Schizosaccharomyces pombe: one gene and its partner. Each later gene encodes a partner of the first gene's protein in a complex. Each region holds a gene or a part of one and is shown on either strand. Other genes may lie near its edges.

The links.
Region 2: raf2 (region 1) and raf1 share a complex: the UniProt entries of both Schizosaccharomyces pombe proteins name them as parts of the clr4 methyltransferase complex.

What each region holds. Positions count from the first base shown.
Region 1 is NC_003421.2:498,417-503,864, forward strand, and holds raf2 (CLRC ubiquitin ligase complex subunit Raf2), read left to right. Parts: upstream 1-2,348; 5' UTR 2,349-2,442; coding exon 2,443-4,353; 3' UTR 4,354-4,464; downstream 4,465-5,448. Other genes in the region: kcs1 (inositol polyphosphate kinase), read right to left, coding at 1-1,350; erv29 (cargo receptor protein), read right to left, coding at 5,201-5,448. UniProt on the Schizosaccharomyces pombe protein: Component of the Clr4 methyltransferase complex (ClrC) which contributes to the establishment of heterochromatin by specifically methylating histone H3 to form H3K9me.
Region 2 is NC_003421.2:99,216-104,264, forward strand, and holds raf1 (CLRC ubiquitin ligase complex WD repeat subunit Raf1/Dos1), read right to left. Parts: upstream 3,050-5,049; 5' UTR 2,957-3,049; coding exon 1,040-2,956; 3' UTR 501-1,039; downstream 1-500. Other genes in the region: protein meu23, read right to left, coding at 1-270; rhp16 (ATP-dependent helicase), read right to left, coding at 3,470-5,049. UniProt on the Schizosaccharomyces pombe protein: Component of the Clr4 methyltransferase complex (ClrC) which contributes to the establishment of heterochromatin by specifically methylating histone H3 to form H3K9me.

The sequences.
Region 1 (5,448 bases):
AGATGATTTATGGTGTAAAGATTTGGGGCTTCCATAAGAATGAGATCTTTTGTCGGGAAGCATCCATTCAGGAAAAATATGACGGTTTTGCTCAACACTAACCTCTGGAATGTATCCATAGTCTTTTTTCTGATAACAGCTGTTAAATGTGTGTTTATGGGGGGCAGGTGTTTTAGACGATGATTCTGTATTGACATATTCCGTAGTAGAATCGTTTTCTTCTGTTTTAGTAATAGTATGAGTCACATTTAAAACACCAATATACTTTGGGATAAAGGGAAGCAATTCTGGATGGCAAGCTTCAATAGTTTCATAAAACGTATTTTCATTTCTTGTAAGTGGTTTGCAAACGGCTCTTTTAGAAAACCGGAAGAAAGCCGTATGTCCACCGACTTGATGTTTGAAGGGTTCCAATCGTACAGTAACCGGATAATCAACATTCCAATGGAAAAAAGGATGGTCTTCAGGAGGAGATGATGAGACAGATGATACAGATGATCGCGGGGTGGATGCAGGACTTTGATAAGAACGGGATACCGACCTTTCAAGCTCAAACGAAGCATCAGGTAGTAAAGGGAGGTGTTGAGATGACTTTTTAGAAGGATTATGTGGTATGTAGGTGGCTGTGGTTTTAGAACTACCACTATCTTTTCTTCGTTTAGGAGCTGAGCTCCGACCACGAGATGATCTTCGACTTAGTGATGTATCTTTTTCGGAAATAACTTCATCTAAATCATGCTGAGCACCAACACTTGGTGATCCAGATTTGGAGAGCCTTTCAGAAACAGATTCAAGAGGACTCGACACGTTGTGCAAAGCAGTATTAGTACTGTTACCGGTTTCTAAGTTATTGGAGGTAGAAGACTCAAAGAGACGTAATGACCTGCTTGCCTTTCGAGACGGATGAGCAGAATGAGCACTTGCCATATCATCAGCTTCAGAAACGGCTGAAGACTGCAGCACCGGTACTGGTGATTCAGCAACTGAATAAGAGGAACCACCTAATTGCAAGTCAGCTAGACTCTTGTGAATTGAATCACTCATATATTCAACAGGGGTGTGTGTTCTCAAAGGGGTTTGTTCTTGTGAATTACTTCTTGTTAAAATTAAGCGAGGGACATCTTCCAAGCTCGTAGTTCGAGGGTCTACAGCAGATGAATAGTTACTTAGCCTTCTAGGCGATAAACTGTCTAATGACTTAGGACCTATGGATTCAGAATGCATAGTAAAATTATTGTTATCTTCTGATTCATCGTACAAGCATTTTAACGTTTCAGGACCTCGATCATGAAAATTCACGTCTCTGCCTTTACGTGAATTCGGCAGGTAACACTTTGGTGCGTTCTGCATAAATTCATAAGTTTATCTCTATTAAATTAATATTTTTCCTTAATTCCCCTTCAATTCCTCCAATTTGTCCGATTTTTATTAGTTTACCTTTCGCAGAGACCCGCTTTGGTTCTTGGCAAGTTTCTTACTTTGCTCTAGCTTACAGTATAATGAGGCGTATAGTGAAACTACTTAAATTCATTATTGTCAGCAATACTACACTACGCTATGATACACTACGTTGCGTATCACTATATGTCATATGTTGGAATACTAGCTAAGATCCGTTTATTGATAATCACGGGTAACTATCCGTCTATATACGTAGATACCCGTTGATAACAACTATTTAGAAATATTATAAATAGCGTTACAACTGAACTGAGGAACGAGGTTCAGTTATGAGCTATATTAGTGATAGGTAACATTATAACCCAGTTAATACAATACCTATACTCAGTTGCTACTTATACAACCTGCGTATTGTAATATAATAGATCACAAGGAAAACTCACCGCAGTTCTACGTATCCTTAAATCAGATACCAAACTGCGTAGCTTACAATTATTCTACTCTAAAGATCCACATAATAATACACCGTATCTGTCATTAAATTACGCATTGTGTCAGCTATGCAATCATTAAAACACTTAATGATACTTTAGAACTGCGGTGGGTTTTCCTAATATAAAAAATAATGTTAAATAAAATTCTGTTTTCTATACAATAATAAATATATCAAAATATTAAGAGATATCGTATAGTATTATATGTGCACTAAAATAGTTTACAATCAGCTGAGGAGTACAAATCAAACTTCATCAATATTTTTCTAATTAAAGAATAAGTACTTTAGAAGCAACGTATGTTCACGGCCGAAAGAAATGTTGGTAAAACACAATTATAGGTATAGTGATTGTTAACGTATCGTAAGTATAACGCACTAGACGTTAATTATATATTTGTGCAGTACAATGGATACCCTTCTCTTAAATTTCAGAAGCAGAGATCAGAAATTTAACACCAATGTTTACCTCAAAAATATGCCGTCTATAGTAATAGGCAATATTACTTCGAAGAGTATTGTTTTTGGGGAAAAGGAAAAAGCTAGCGATGCCGCCCGTACGTGCTGAAAAAAAGCGGAAAACTGATTTGATTGAACAAGTTTGCGTTACAAATAAAGCAGGGGAATTAGTAGATTTAGAGGACGTTCTAGAATATGGCCCTTATTCATTAACAGGAATTTTATCTTCTGAAAAGGATGAGCAAGAACCATTGTTTGATGAGAGCATTGTTCTGGGATACTCGATAAAAATATCGCCTGTTTGGACATACAATCTAAAAGACGTTCCTGAGAAAGAAACTATGAGCATATGGATCGTTACACCTCAAAGAAGATACGGAATTTTGTCTCCTTCTTCTGAGTATAAAGCCATTTACGAACAGATCAGCGAGAAGAATCGATTGTTTTACCTTATTAAGACAAAATTCAAAGATGATATGATATCTGGTACGTTAGAAGATTACGATAATTATATCGAAGTTTTAAAGGAAAAGCTAGAGCTTCCTTCTTGTTTTCAAGCAATTCTCTTAGTGCAAAAACATATTCGCTTTCTGTTAACCCAAATGGTTGCGACTTCTTCATTACATGTATGGTCTGAATCACCTTTTTTTATAAGAATTCGATCTTCATACGAACATCTGATTTTACAAATTAATAAAAACATTTACAATGCTCGTCAAGAGCGAAAGAAATCAAAGTTATCGTCAAACAATCCATCGGACAATAATACTACTATGAAAAGCTCTTTAAACCAAGCTCTTACTTTAATTAATTTACCCGAGCAACCGTTTAGCATTTCCTCTCCCACAGCAACACCACAACTAGGAGTTGTAAAAAGAACTTCTCCATTACGGTTTCCTTTGAATGATATTTGGCTTTCCGGTTTAAGGATTGTTGATCCAAATATTGAATCGATATCATTATGGAAAAGAATACAAGTTTCAACCTCTCCGAAGCATCAACGTTATATTAGCCTTCAAGAAGTTTGCAGCGTTATTGCTCAACAGCTACAAATAACAAATTTGGAAGCTTTGAATAAACTTTCTTCCCACGGCGAAACCCTTTTGCAAATTATGCATACTGCTTTCACGTGGAGAGGTACTAAGCTTTTTAATGATATTAAGCACGCAATTGGTTTTAGATCTTCTGTTCAACAAGCACGATCTCAATTCCGTGGATATTGTTATGATTATTTATTCATGCATTGTAACAATGGAGAAAAAACAAGTCTACATCTCTTGAGGACTCTAATATGCATGAAACTAGATTTCTCAAATGCTCAATTGGCGGCCAAGATATTATTTCATTTCTTGTTATTTGATATTGGATCAGGCCTTTCTGGCTCAGATTATACATATGAACAATACATTAATCACTCAGCTGTCGCTTTCAGTTTTACGGAGGAAATTTTTGAAAAAAATTTTGTTACAGTTCTTCCTGACTTTGTTAAACTTTTTTCTATTTCTTTTGGTTATTGGCCTGCATTCAGCTTCTATGATGAATTATTGAAATTACTTCGCAACAAATATCCCAAAGTATATTCATCAACTCCAAATTTATGCGATCAGGTATGGCTGGATCGAACAAATTTATTCCCTTGTAATAGGTCAACGAGGTCGACTTTACCGTATAGACCTACAAAACTGCTCGATTTAGCTTCCGCATCTTCCTGCTTATCCAAAAAGGAAACAGATTTTAAACAAGACACTGGATTATATTCATATAACTTGGAGAAAGTTGAGGCTTTAAAAGTTAGTCCGGATTTACAGACTGGTATTTGGTCATGTCCAGTACAAAATTGTTTGTATTTTGCTGTTTGTGACAACCCGTATAAACCTTCTCAGGTCATTTACGATCATCTTTTAGGACATGTAGATTCCAAGTTTATATTTAAAACTCCTTCGAACAGTGTCCGATCGTTTACAAATAAACTTGAACACATAATGTACAACATAAATTAATGATAGATATGATGATTTTTACTAGTAATTAACAAAAGACACACTGCATTAAAGTTAATATATAGTATGTTTATAAAGGATTACAATTTTACATGGCTAATGTCAAATACACTTTACTTTACAAATATCATGTGTTCATAAACAATTTCAAAAACACATTTTGTAACAACAATTTGATACGCTTATAAATGTGCCTATTAAAGTGTACAAATAGCTGAATTATTTGTCAAATGTAATATAGGACGATCAAACAAAATCAAACACCAACCCTTTACAATTGTAAAGTTAATGGCCGTTCAAAATACCAGAACCCATTTTTGATAATAACTGAGACCAAGCGATAAAATAAAAACAGAGGAATGTAAACGCCAAGAACTACTAAATGTTCATGCGTAAGGAAAACGAGCAAAAAACGAGTATTTATTTTAGAAAAGAGCAATACTATTAAAAAATTGTTCCAGAAAATACGGACCATACGCGACGATTACCCATCTTTTTGGTTTTGTAAACGTAAATAGAATCATCTAATCATGAATCAGTAGGAGCAAACATGAGTATGATGAGGCTCACTTCTTTGACATAAAAAAATTAATGTGATAGGATAATATCCTAAATTCGATCCCACTCATAGATAGAAGAAAGTGTAATTTCAACTCTAATACAAGAATGGAGCCAAAGTAAACAAAGGAATGTACAAATAGGCAAGATCCTGTGAAAGAAAAGTACCTGTAAAATAAGGATTTTATGATATAAAAGGACAAGGTTGACAAATTAAATCAAATCATAAAAAAATTAAAAAATAAAACAACATTTTCATTTTTTTTTAAGAAACACGCAGTATTTTGGCTTAATAAATCTTTTTCTTTTCATCAACGGAAAACTTGCCCGGTCCAGTGTTGACGAGATATAGGAGACCACCAACAATAGACAAGGTTTGGAAAAAGTCGTAACGATAAAAGTCACGATAGGGACTTTCACGAGGAACCGACCAGAAGCTGTTGATAATGAAATTGGCAACAGATAGAATAAGAACGAGGACTGCAGCGAAGAATTTAGCCTTAAAACCAATGACCACCATGGCACAGGCTGTAACAG
Region 2 (5,049 bases), 400 kb from region 1:
TTCCAACGCGGTCCACTCATCCACTCGACGTTGAAACCTTTTTACGCGCTCATTTGTACGAATCTCCTCTTCATTCAGGTGAGTTTTGTTCTCAAGGGCCCTTCCCTCACTCTCTAATATTCTATTTCTCGCTTCTATTCTTCTTTTCTCGAATTCAACTCGAAAGTCGTTTAAAAATCTATTTCCCTCCTTTGAAGAGGATTCAGTTGGTGGAGGAATATTAAATTCATTAGAAAATTCCTCGTTCAATTCACTTTCAGTATTAGGCATAATTTATTGTTTACAAATTAATATTGTTTAGTAGTAACGCGAATAGCAAGCTGGGTGCAGCCAAGTGTAGTGGTACATGAATATGTAAACACCAAAGCTGTAAACAAAAAAGCTTCCGGTAGTTGTTCATCATTTTTTTAAATTGAAAAGGTGAGTTGATGATTAAATTATGGTTTTTGTTAACGGCATGTTTTCAAGTTAACTAATTACGTTTGCTTGAAGAGTTAATTCAACATTCCATAAAAAATCTCCATTTCTGTTAACATTAAGAGTTTCGGGTCTAAGCTAAACTTAAATTTATCTATGTTTGATATTTTAATTTAATTTGTAACACATTTTTCATCCTTTAACCGTGAAAGCTCATTTGTTTGTTACTATGTTTTGCTTTTGAGTTATCAAACCAGTCAGTTGATCATTAAAGAAACATATTAGATATTATTAAAATTTTCTTGCTGTAAACGTCAATTCAATAATCAGCTTGACTTTACCTTCACTGAGATTAAGGTTTAATTTTCCATTATCCTTTAGAATCATTGCAAAATTTTTGGCCTTCTTCAGTTCTTAAATATTTCTCGGATCGATCGCTGTCTTTAATTTTCTTGCCAGTTCACCCACGAAAAGGAATTCGATTAAATATTCATACTAGCTGAGCATTATTTCTTTTATACCTTCTCTGTATCCTAGTCGTCTAATAAAGAAAATTTTTCTTAGCGCGAATCTCCATTGACTGATCATCTTTACATATACCTTTTCGTATTTAAACCTCAATTCAGGTTAAAAGTCGATTTTCTATAATACGAAACTCTCCGAATTTATTACCATTGTCATTCCCCAAACTGTACATATTGACGTCCCCTCCAACACAACATACGGTTAGCTTTGAAGCATCCTCACTGAACCCTCCGTAAGTTATGGCTGAATTCATTTCCGTAAAATTTTGTATGAATGGATTGTTCAATCTCAAATCCCAAACCTTTACAATGCCATCACTGCCTCCGGTAACGAACAAATTCCCCTTAGGCTGCCATTGTGCCATATTTATACCTGCATCGACTTCCTCTTCATTAGCCCCGTCAAAATGTATCATTTTGGTTTTTCCATGCTTAAGCAAGCTAAGAGGTTTATCTGGTTTACGCGAATCCCAAACAAACGTCTGGTTATCTGTACCACTAGAAGTTACCAAGATTCCAGAGTTACTTATGGTGGCATGGTTAATGTCTTTTTGCGTTGTCGTAAAGTTGAGACAAACCTTATACATTCTTGTGTCTAAATAATATACTCTTCCATTGCTCAAAGTATTGCTACTTGCGACAAATCCAACTTGAGAAGGATGCATATATAAGGAGGTAAATGCTTCGTCAGCGGTGTTGAATTTTTGAACGAAGCTGGCAGTGGAAGCATCAAACAGAGCCAAACATCCTCTGTTATTAGAAGTATGAAAACTATCATATCCAATAATGACTTTGTCAGATGACCTTCCCAAAAAATTGGAAAATTCAATCAAAGATGCAGAGTACCCTTTTTCTAGAGCTTCTGGATAAATTAAATTAGCTGATGTGAGAATTTCTCCTGTTGAGTTGTCAGTGCTCAATAAATACCCATAACCATTTTTGCAAGCTACTGCAAGTAAATCGTCATCAGATAGAGCAAGCTTGTGAATATAGTCTGTGGGTGCATTAAAAATCCCACATAAATTTCCTTCCATATCCCAGACTTTCACAGCATTGTCGAATGCACCTGTATAAAGAAACAGATTACCCTTGGAAAAACACAAATCTGATATCGTAGAGTATTCCTTTTCTCCTACTTGATTAAGTTTATAATGGCTTTCCAATGACTGAATAGTTTCTGAGTGAAAATCACCAATCCATAAGTTGCCTAGTCTATTGTAAGCACCATCTTGTGCTGTGCTGCCTAAGGCAAATTTTTCGCACAATGGATTATATGCAACGCACACTGTATCCCCACTAGTTTCATTGAAATGTTTCCAAGGTTTTAAAAAGAAAACTGATTCCCCGTCCATAAGTTGATGAACTTGTTCTCTTTGGAAGTAAGATGAGCCTGCATTGTAAAAGGATTTTAAGTAATCTGGAAGTAATTTTTTATTCTTCTTGTATGTTCGTAAAATGATGGCCCCATGTTTGTCCACAGGAGACAAGCTGGGGTTATCAATTTCAAATTTCTGGCAATCTTCATATGCTCGTCCAGGAAGTTTTGGAGAAATGTGGGTCGAATAAGCATCATTGAACTGAACACTGTTTACCGGTCCAAATTTTAGTTTAGCTTCTTGTAAAATAAAGCATTCCTCTGGTGTAAAATCAACATGAATGAGTGATGGTTTATCATCGCCTGTAATGCTATTTGAAAGTAAATGAGTGTGTTTTCTCACTCTTTCACTCAAATAAGGACGTGAATTAGGTAAGAATGTCCCAGACGTTAGTAAAAGTTGCAATTCTAATCGTTTATTTACATTTGATGGAACTTTTGCAATTGAATGCTTCGATATTGATAATGACGGTTTCGGGCAAGGTAGCTCTGCGCGATAAAAAGGATCATAAATCTCAAATTCTTCCTCAAAAAATTCTTCGTTATTTGTGTCAAAGTCAACCTTGGGCAATTTAGAAGAGACGGAATGCAAATATTGCGTATCCGTTCTTCTTTTCACCCGTGGTGAACTATTAGTCATGCCATAAATAGGAAATTGTTTGAGAAATTATTGGGCTTTTTACTTTTAATCCTTCAGTGTGCAAGTTCACTAGTTTAACAGAAGTTATGGGTTGCTGAGTGAGTTTAAGGCACTGATTGATATAAAGAATTTACTAAGTCCAAAAAGTATAAAGACATTCCAAAATCGAAAATATTATATTAAAATTGAAGATATAATGATTATCTATTGAGTTACTATTATTACAAATTTATCAGTCAAAGGTAAGTTAATGACTTTACATTGAAGCGATAAAATCTTAACTATGTTTAATTTGTTTTAAAAAACTTTAACCGTTCTATTGACAACTCAATAATAAATTATATCCATTAATAGGAATCCCCAAAAAAATAAATAAACTTCCAAAACGCATATACTGACTTAGGGAATTACGGTCCAAAAAACTAGGATAACAAAAAAAATGCAAAGGGAGATATGGCAGGTATATAAAAAGGAAACGGCCAAAATTTGGGCTAATTTTAAAAAAACAAAATTCTAATTTGAGAACAAGAATTGCATATCCTCGACAGAAAGCTGGTTCAAAGCCTTTTCGTCTTGATCTATGGTTGCATGTATCATCTGAGCTTTCTTTTCTTGTAGTTCAATAATTTTGCTTTCAATGGAATTTTCAATACACAGGGTAATTACTTTTATCGGCCTTTTTTGTCCAATACGATGAATTCGATCCATTGCCTGCCACTGTACAGCTCCATTCCACCAAGGATCCATCATAAACACTTGAGATGCCTCTGTAAGGTTCAAAGCAACACCACCTGCTTTCAACGAAACTAGAAAAATGGTAATATTAATATCGTTACTGAAAGCCTCAATAGTAGCTGCTCTCGCTTTGGGGGTCATACCACCATCTAGCTTTACACAATTAAACCCGGCTTTTCGAAGTCGCCAATGAATGAGATCTAACATAGAAGTAAATTGAGAGAAAACAATCGACTTCAGTGTTCGGTCCTTCTTACGAAGTAAGTAAAGCTCCTCAACTAATGCTTCAATTTTTGTAGATGAACGCCAACTATTCATATCAATTCTATTCAAAATCGATGCATTCTTAAACTTCTCTTCAGAAAAATCTTCTAAAGCAGGGGCACTAAGATCTATGCTTAAGGGAATGAAACAACTTGGACAGTTGACATTTTCTCCATCACCAGCTGCATTGATATATTCCGTAACGCAGAGTCGACAAAATGTGTGATGGCAACGTGATTCTATAGCATCTTGAGCGACTTCGTCACAAATCTTACAGACGATATTTTCCTGATTTTCAATATCAACTGTTTTTCGTTTGCTAGCTAACACCAGGTCAGGATGATCTGCCATTTGGCGCATTCGTGTAATTAGCTGGAAAATGTTTGCATAATTATTCAAAACGACACCTTCAGCAAGATATGTATTAAATTTTCTTTTTGAATCCATATATAAAGATTGGTATACATCTTCCTCTTCTTCGTTGAATAAATCTTTCCTCACTTCAACGACTCGAGGAGGTAATCCAAGGTCATCAGCCCTCTCTAATTTTGTTCGACGTAACATAATGTGTTTTAATAAAGAATGCACCTTTTTAAAAGCTAGCTTTCCTGGACCTTCGTATCCAAACTTTTGTATTGGTTTTAGCATTTCAGCGTTAAAATAGCAAGTATGACTCATTGGTTTATGGCCGCATTCGTCGCAATTACTTCTATCGGAAAATCTCCAGTGCAGAGATTTACATTCACATTGCAAGCAATAGTAGTAAGCAAAAGGATCTGCCCGTAGGAACCGAAGAAGTGAAAATAATTCTCCAATACGGTTTTGCAAAGGTGTTCCTGAAAGACATATCTTTCTTGTCGTTCTTAAGCCACAAACAGCTCTGGCAGTGTTACAAGTCCTTGATTTGATACCATGGGCCTCATCAAGTATAATTCGGTAAAACTCCATTTGATGAAGTAATGACTTTTCTTTTACAACACCGTTTTTCCTTCTGAATCCGCTGCGTTCCTTCCTGTAAACTGATTCAATTACATTGTAACTCGTTAGTACAACATCATAGCTCGAAAGCTCTTCTCCTGAAATATCACGAGCCT